2 linked regions of the Arabidopsis thaliana genome follow. The protein of the gene in region 1 interacts with the protein of each later gene in a pairwise test. Each region holds a gene or a part of one and is shown in the gene's direction. Other genes may lie near its edges.

Region 1 (4,252 bases):
TTACTCAGAGACGTATGGGAACTCTTGTCTCGCAGACTCTCAGGACTTTGATGTTAAGGAAGTGGAGGTAGTTAAATTTCATCCCTCTCCTTGAAAAATAAAAGCTTTATATTTCAATATTTTGCAACACCTTTTAACTGAAACAAGCAAACAAACACACCATTGGTTGATTGATTGTTGCAGCTATGGGGATTTGTGTATGGCTCAAAGTATGATGAGATTCTAGCTCACAGCAAAACAATGGAGCCTGGTCTTTGCAGATGGTCATGATCATTATAAAGAAAACCCAAATGAATTCAACTGAGATTCGTCTTTTTGTTGTTGTTGTTGTTGTTGTTGTATAAATCTGTAGTAAAAGAAATCTTGTTGTCTTGTAACTTGGCTAAAATCACATATATGTTACTCTCTCTCACTTGTAATGATGATTTTGAAATAACAAAATAAAACCACCTATTAGGCTCATTCGGCCCATTAAGGCCCATTAAAGCATATGTGTGTGTGAAGAGGGATTAATTTTAGTGGGGAAGAATCAAAGAAGAAAAACCCTTGCTACTGCTTTTCATTTCTGACCTAAAAGCTCAGCTCCGATTTGAAAATGGGGAGTAGATTGGGAGGACGAGTGGTTCATTTCGCGAATCTTCCGATTAAGCTTCTGATGCCTGCGAAGCTGACCAACATTCACGAATTCGCGTTGAAAACGATTCCTTCCGCGTCCAAGATCGAGATCAAGCGAGTCCTGGAGTCGCTCTACGGATTCGATGTGGAGAAGGTGAATACTTTAAACATGGATGGGAAGAAGAAGAAGCGTGGTGGTTTGTTGATAGCGAAAGCTGATTACAAGAAGGCTTACGTCACGCTACGTAGTCCATTGTCGATTTCTAGGGATTTGTTTCCGGTGAAGTATATCGAGGAAGATAGGAAGAGTAAAGTGAAAGGATCTAGCTTTGTTGAGGAAGAAGATGATAAGAAGAGTCATTGGCTTGATCGTAAGGAGAAGAGGGAGATTGGTGGTTATGGTAAAGGTAAAGGTCGTCGAGGTGGTGAAAGGGCTAACTCTCCGACGAGAGGTGGTGCTGCGGCGGCGGGGACGGCCAAGTTTCCATGGAGCAACATGAGATTTGTTGGTAAGTAGGGTTTATGAGCAGATTATGATCTGGGGTTTGTGTTTCTTTAGCTATCGGATTATTGATTTTGTTGTTTCTATTACTTGAGGTTTGTGTATTGAGAATCTGAATCATTGAAGCTCTCAGTGTTTCTGAGATTTGGCTAATAAATCTGAATCAAGATGTTTCCAATTGTTTGTAATCTTTCTCTTAGTGATCTCTGATTAGCTATATGATATTTGCTGCTCCCGAGTTCTAAAGCTTTTTTTCTTAATTGCAATCTATAAGAATGCTTAAGGGGATTAACTCTGGTGATGGTGCTTTGTTTGTCTGTTCAAGTTTTGAGAAACCTCTTATTAGTCTTATTGTTTGTGGATTTGGGGCTTATGTTCAAATGTTCGATCACATTACGCAGATGCAAAACGTATGATAAAATTGTGACAAATCACTACATTAGCCAATAAATATAGTCATCTCTGATCATCCCAAAAATCTCATCACTTTGTGGACTAGTAGCTTGGTGTTTACTAAATAATTGTTAAAATAATTGTTAGTTCAGATTTTGGTATTCATTACAGATTACAACTAGGCTACTACTCACCTAGTATCTTCACAAACTAACAAAAATTTGTTTGGCTTAAAGGTCTTTTTTTGGTTTAGGTTTTAATTAATCAAATAACGATTTAAAAGATTAATGAAGAAGACTTTGATCATAGAAATTTTAGAAAACATTCATCATTAAAAAATATTATTTTTTTTAAACACAGATACACCCAACCGCATCGACGCGCTTCTTATATAAAGTCTCCGCGGAAATCGTTGAATATATTTGGGCGCGTGGCGATTTTGTGAAGGTTGTCAAGTTTGTGTGCGACCGAGTCATCGTCGTCGTGCTCTCCTTCTTCTTCATCGTCGAGACCTAAGAAAGACGAGACTCTGATTCTTCTGATCTTTGAATCACACTTTTTCTTTTTTTCCTTCTTCTTCCAACGGAACGGAACATATGGCTTCGGTTTCACCTTTGGCAAAGTTTAAACTGGTGTTCTTAGGAGACCAATCTGTCGGAAAAACCAGCATCATCACTCGTTTCATGTATGACAAATTCGACACCACGTACCAGGTATTTACACAGATTCCTTTCACTTGTTTTGTTTATTCATTTAAATTCTTCTCTGCGACAACAAGTTTCTTTTGTTTTCGTTTTTTTATTGTTTGATCTGATTCATTATTTCCTATATTACGATTGTTCAGACGATTTCATCTCATATTGGTCCTAGATTACGTCGCTGATATCACTCTGGTTTTTCTTCAATGCATTTGTTTGATCACTCTGCTCTCTGTTTTTTTGGTTGATTTATCAATCTCTTCTTCTTATTATGATCAAGATCGATGATGCTAAGCACTGTTGCTTCTTTGCTTTCTTAGTTAGTCATTAAGCCTTTATTTGTGTTCTCTCTGACTCTCTGCAGCCTACCATTGGAATCGATTTTCTATCGAAAACAATGTACCTCGAAGATCGAACAGTTCGTTTGCAGCTATGGTGAGAACAATGTTACTTTTGCTCTTTACCTAAAAACTAACATGTTAATTTCAAAAGCAATAACAAAACAAGTTTTGATTGAAAGGGATACTGCTGGACAAGAAAGATTCAGGAGTCTAATCCCAAGTTACATCAGAGATTCTTCTGTTGCCATTGTTGTATACGATGTATCCAGTAAGTCCACCTTTGTTTCTCTCTTTGATTCACCTTCTTTTTTGTGTTCTTATGTGTTCAATCAATACTTTGTGTTGCAGATAGGCAAACGTTTCTGAATACCTCGAAATGGATTGAGGATGTTCACAGAGAAAGAGGTCAAAGCAATGTTATCATCGTTCTTGTTGGAAACAAAACTGATCTTGTTGAAAAACGGTAAATACAAACATTAAGCAAAGAATTGGATGGGATGGACTATATAATTCTCTCTTGTCTTATATATGTCAATCTTGATATAATGAAAAACAGGCAAGTATCAATCAGTGAAGGAGAAGACAAGGGTAAAGAGTATGGAGTGATGTTCATTGAGACCAGTGCCAAAGAAAACTTCAACATTAAGGTATGACAAAACTTCAACAAAGAGTATGGAGTGATGTTCATTTGAGTGTTTCTTGTTGTCTGATTTCTAAACACACCAAATCTCTTCAATTTGCAGGCTTTGTTCCGGAAGATTGCTGCAGCTTTACCCGGGGTAGACTCATATTCATTGGCAACAAAATCAGATGACATGGTTGATGTGAATCTAAAGACCACTTCAAATTCATCACAAGGTGAGCAACAAGGAGGAGCAGGTGGTGGTGGAGGCTGTTCTTGTTGATTCAAAAATACATAATTCCAAAACTTGTGAAGCAAACAAAAGGGATCACGTTAGTTTTGTGGTTTTCATCTTATTAACTGACACAGAATATAAAACATCAAAGAGAAAAGGATTACTATTTTTACACATGTGAATCTTTTGCCTTGTTCTGTATTTGATCTGTTTTAGACATTGACGGTAGCAGAATACAAAACCTTATTCTGATCACCACCAAATGAACCAAAGGGAGAAGGATCAACTGTGGTGACAGCTTCCTTCCACTCAATTGTACCCCAAATCTCACCTTTCGAACGAAATCTCGGCACACCAAACATCCAATCTCTCATCATCATCATTACGCTCAAGCCAGAAGAGAACAATGTTCACACCAAAACTGTTCACTTGACTGATATTCTTAGAGCCTCCAAACCTTTAACTATCTTCCATTCTGATTCCTCAGACTCTTGCCAAAACACTCACCGGAAGCTCATATCGGTACCGTATAACAACAATTCCTCAACTACACAATAACTCAAAAGATGTGGCCTATTCGTTCTTCCCCATTTACCATCACTGGGAGAGTAATAAACACTTCCTTCAAACCATTTCACTCCGTAAACCTTGTCTTCCTTAACAAGGCTTCCATTGGCGTTTGTTTTGGCCACTACGATTATCGGCGGGAAGGTTTTGTTGTTTCTTCTCTTCTTGGAAAACGAAAAACGTTATCCTTTATTTGTTCTTCTCTTGTTTTACTTTTTTATTGAGCCTTCAAACATTCGTTAGTGTTATCAACTCAATGAAACTTGTAACACAACAAGT
Region 2 (4,835 bases), about 18 Mb from region 1:
AGCCCTGTGCTTGCATCCGCGGTTTCCGGCCTAGGAACGACGCCGCGTGGAGATCTGATGATTACAGCGACGGATGCCGCCGTGAAAACGGTGATTCCGGCGAAAAGAGTGATACTTTTGAAGCCGTTGGTGATCTACGCTACGATGGTGATGTGAAGATGTCACGGTTGCAGGTAAGCAAGAGCTCTTGCGCCAAAACTTGCTTAGGAAACTCTTCTTGTGTTGGTTTTTATCATAAGGAGAAGTCTAATCTCTGCAAAATTTTACTCGAGTCGCCGAATAATCTGAAGAATTCGAGCTCGTGGACTGGAGTTAGTGAAGATGTATTGTATATCAGAGAACCAAAGAAAGGGAATTCAAAGGGAAACATCTCTAAGTCTATAATTATATTGTGCAGCGTTGTTGGGTCAATCTCAGTTCTTGGGTTTACATTGTTAGTGCCATTGATTCTGTTGAAGAGGAGTCGAAAGAGGAAGAAGACTAGGAAACAAGACGAAGATGGGTTTGCTGTGTTGAATCTTAAGGTATTTTCTTTCAAGGAGCTTCAATCAGCTACCAATGGGTTCTCGGATAAGGTCGGACACGGCGGTTTTGGGGCGGTGTTTAAGGGAACATTACCGGGTTCTTCTACATTCGTGGCTGTGAAACGCTTAGAAAGACCTGGAAGCGGGGAGAGTGAGTTCCGGGCAGAGGTATGCACCATTGGGAACATTCAACATGTCAATCTCGTTAGGCTTAGAGGTTTCTGTTCAGAGAATCTTCATAGGCTTCTTGTCTATGATTACATGCCACAAGGATCCTTGAGTTCCTATCTGTCTAGAACAAGCCCCAAATTGCTAAGCTGGGAGACCCGTTTCAGGATCGCGTTAGGTACTGCCAAAGGGATCGCGTACTTGCATGAAGGATGCAGGGACTGTATTATACACTGTGATATCAAACCGGAGAACATTCTTTTGGACAGTGATTACAACGCCAAAGTGTCTGATTTTGGCTTGGCTAAGCTCCTTGGACGTGACTTCAGCAGAGTTCTAGCCACGATGAGAGGGACATGGGGCTACGTGGCTCCCGAATGGATATCTGGTTTGCCCATCACGACAAAAGCTGATGTGTATAGCTTTGGAATGACATTGCTCGAGCTGATCGGTGGTAGAAGAAATGTCATTGTTAATAGCGATACACTGGGAGAGAAAGAGACAGAACCAGAGAAATGGTATTTAGAGAATGTCTTTTACTTGGAATCAATTGTAAGAGAGAAAAAAACATATACATTGAATCAATGAATCCCTTTTCAGGTTCTTTCCGCCATGGGCAGCGCGTGAGATCATACAAGGCAATGTGGACTCTGTGGTTGACTCTAGACTCAACGGAGAATATAACACTGAAGAGGTGACGAGGATGGCAACGGTGGCGATATGGTGCATACAAGACAATGAAGAGATAAGGCCAGCAATGGGAACGGTAGTGAAGATGCTTGAAGGAGTTGTGGAGGTGACGGTTCCTCCACCGCCTAAATTAATACAAGCTCTTGTCTCCGGCGATTCATACCGAGGAGTGAGCGGCACAAGCTGTAGTGAAGGCCATGGCTGTTCGGATCTCAATACAGGTTTGTCTAGCCCTGGCTCACGGTCGTCTTTTGGTAGACCTTCTCCTTGATCAATTTTGTAAGGTGATTTGGTCAAAACCAGCCTTAAATGTTTTAAGTGTTGCTCTCTAAGAGGGTTTAATTAGTTTAAACTGTATTTGTTGGTTGTATGATATTTGACTTAATCGACATTAACAGTTAAAACCATGGATTATGTCTTTCTTCTTAGTTTGAAAGTTCTTGTCACTTTGATAATCTTCTAATGGCATATATGTAAATTCTTACAGAATGTATTGTATGAGAATCATTACGTGATTGAATCAATAAACCCATGTCGATACTTTAAACTATATGAACGGTCACAATAAACCCATGTTCTCTCTTCTTCTACTCCACGGCTAACCTTAATCTTAGGCAAACCAGAAACACAAATTACAAGAACAAACATAAAAAAGAATCTCTTGTCTTGTCTGCTTTCAATCCTCATGTCTCTAATCCTCCCCAAGTAGAGAAATATAAAAACTTAGACAAATATTGCCACAACCGGTGAAAATGGAGATCCCGGTTCGAGAGGAGAGAAGATCCTCCTCATCCTCTGCCGGACCATTACAACAAACCATCTCCTTAGCAGCTGACGACGCCATCGATAGCGGTCCATCCTCTCCGCTTGTCGTCAAAGTCTCTGTCTTCGAAACAGAGCATGAGACGACCAAGCTTATCCACGCGCCGTCAACTCTGCTCGGTGAAACCACCGGAGACGCTGATTTTCCTCCCATTCAAAGCTTTAGAGATGCTAAACTTGTTTGTGTGGTTGAAACGTCTAAGCTTTGGGAAATAGCTGCACCTATAGCTTTCAACATTCTTTGTAATTACGGTGTTAACTCCTTCACAAGCATCTTCGTTGGCCATATCGGCGATCTTGAGCTTTCTGCCGTCGCCATCGCTCTCTCCGTCGTCTCTAATTTCTCCTTTGGTTTCTTGGTGATTAAAATAACCTTCCTCTACTCTGCTTTTTTCCTCCTCTGTTTCTTGCGTTTTCTCTAACTTTCTAGAAAAAAACTGCAGCTGGGAATGGCGAGTGCGTTGGAAACGTTATGTGGACAAGCGTTTGGAGCGGGACAAATGGATATGTTAGGTGTTTATATGCAGCGTTCTTGGCTTATCCTCCTCGGAACTTCCGTCTGCTTGCTTCCTCTCTACATCTACGCAACTCCACTTCTCATTTTACTCGGCCAAGAACCCGAAATCGCAGAGATCTCTGGCAAATTCACTACACAAATCATCCCTCAAATGTTTGCGCTCGCTATCAACTTCCCGACTCAGAAGTTTCTCCAGTCACAGAGCAAAGTAGGGATCATGGCATGGATCGGTTTCTTCGCTTTGACCCTTCACATTTTCATCCTCTACCTCTTTATAAACGTTTTCAAGTGGGGGCTAAACGGTGCAGCGGCTGCATTTGATGTCTCGGCTTGGGGAATCGCGATCGCGCAGGTTGTTTATGTTGTAGGGTGGTGTAAAGACGGTTGGAAAGGGCTGTCTTGGTTAGCGTTTCAAGACGTTTGGCCGTTTTTGAAACTGTCGTTTGCGTCTGCGGTTATGCTTTGTCTAGAGATTTGGTACTTCATGACGATCATTGTCTTAACTGGACATCTTGAAGACCCTGTCATAGCCGTTGGATCTCTCTCAATCTGGTTAACCGTTAGACCTCTTCACAAACTCAAAGATTTACATTTTCTTCTATATCTGATAACACTTTTCTTTCTCTCAGTATGAACATTAATGGATGGGAAGGAATGTTGTTCATAGGAATCAATGCAGCTATAAGGTAAAAAGCAAAAGCAATCTTTGTGTCTTCTAAAAGAAGGCGTTAGACTTATATATATGTTTCTTTCAGTGTTAGGGTGTCGAATGAGCTAGGATCGGGACATCCACGAGCTGCGAAATACTCCGTGATCGTAACGGTGATAGAGTCTCTCGTCATTGGAGTAGTGTGTGCAATTGTAATTCTGATAACACGAGATGACTTTGCTGTGATTTTTACGGAGAGTGAAGAGATGAGAAAGGCGGTAGCTGATCTTGCGTACCTGCTCGGTATAACGATGATTCTCAACAGTTTACAACCAGTTATATCAGGAGTTGCAGTAGGAGGAGGATGGCAAGCACCGGTGGCTTATATAAACTTGTTTTGTTACTACGCTTTTGGATTACCTCTAGGGTTTTTGTTAGGTTATAAAACAAGCCTTGGCGTACAGGTAAAGCCACATAGCCTCCGGTCTAATTATTTTGGTTTAAGTTGATGAAATTGCTTTATGTGGTTTTTCAGGGGATATGGATTGGTATGATATGTGGGACTAGTCTTCAGACTCTCATACTTTTGTACATGATCTACATAACCAATTGGAACAAAGAGGTACCCCCACTCATTTCAGGTTTTATAATCAAATCTTTCACACAAATTGAAGTAAAATGATTCACTATCTTAATTTATTAGGTGGAACAAGCTTCGGAGAGAATGAAACAATGGGGAGCTGGATATGAGAAATTAGAAAAAATAGCAACTTAAATGATTTTGGGAAAAAAAATTATATATACACTTCACTTTATATCTTATGTTATACAGCAATATATTTTTCATTGTATATATCAATTTTTTTTGTAATACCAAATTGTATATGTCATCAAAATATAATTTATCATACATTTGTAAATTTTTAATCTTATCAAAATGATGATTTAAATCTACTAATTCGACCTTATTCAATCATTTCATTATTTTTACCTACTACGGCCGATTGTCAGGAATAAATTAGGCCGGACAAAAATCCAGAATCGGTTATCCGAATCGAAATCAACCCAAAAAATTGGATCCGAAATCAAACTCGAACCCGAAGATTTATCCTATTAGGTCTTAAATTCTTCTACCGAAAAAAACGAACCCGAATCCGAAAATACTCAAATATTTTATTCAAAAATCTAAATTTTACCTGAAACTCAAAATTTTACCCGAAAATCTGGATATTTACCCAAAAAATCTGGATATTTACCCAAAAATTCGGATATCGATTCCAAAAAAGGGTCTAAAAATCTATATCCAAACTCGATTGGACCCGAACCGAAATTGAACCGACATTTTAGATTTACCCTATTGGATCCTAAACTTCTAACCCGAAAAATCTGTATCCGATTGGATTTTATCCGAATCCGACTCGCTTACCCGAATGTCCAGTAAATGAAACCGGTCTACCCATTACCC

The links. Proteins that work in one complex are often made in the same cells at the same time.
Region 2: the proteins of RABH1c (region 1) and AT4G00350 interact in a protein complementation assay, tested with the Arabidopsis thaliana proteins (one large-scale study listed by BioGRID).

Annotation. Positions count from the first base shown.
Region 1 is NC_003075.7:18,504,006-18,508,257, forward strand, and holds RABH1c (RAB GTPase homolog H1C), read left to right. Parts: upstream 1-1,913; 5' UTR 1,914-2,106; coding exon 2,107-2,223; intron 2,224-2,572; coding exon 2,573-2,643; intron 2,644-2,728; coding exon 2,729-2,817; intron 2,818-2,897; coding exon 2,898-3,012; intron 3,013-3,105; coding exon 3,106-3,196; intron 3,197-3,292; coding exon 3,293-3,454; 3' UTR 3,455-3,698; downstream 3,699-4,252. Other genes in the region: AT4G39870 (TLD-domain containing nucleolar protein), read left to right, coding at 1-67, 184-270; AT4G39880 (Ribosomal protein L23/L15e family protein), read left to right, coding at 596-1,132. UniProt on the Arabidopsis thaliana protein: Protein transport. Regulator of membrane traffic from the Golgi apparatus towards the endoplasmic reticulum (ER).
Region 2 is NC_003075.7:149,844-154,678, forward strand, and holds AT4G00350 (MATE efflux family protein), read left to right. Parts: upstream 1-2,069; 5' UTR 2,070-2,134; coding exon 2,135-2,563; intron 2,564-2,647; coding exon 2,648-3,273; intron 3,274-3,350; coding exon 3,351-3,407; intron 3,408-3,476; coding exon 3,477-3,834; intron 3,835-3,905; coding exon 3,906-3,992; intron 3,993-4,073; coding exon 4,074-4,145; 3' UTR 4,146-4,335; downstream 4,336-4,835. Other genes in the region: RLK4 (receptor-like protein kinase 4), read left to right, coding at 1-1,210, 1,293-1,653; AT4G00342 (uncharacterized protein), read right to left, coding at 1,890-2,069.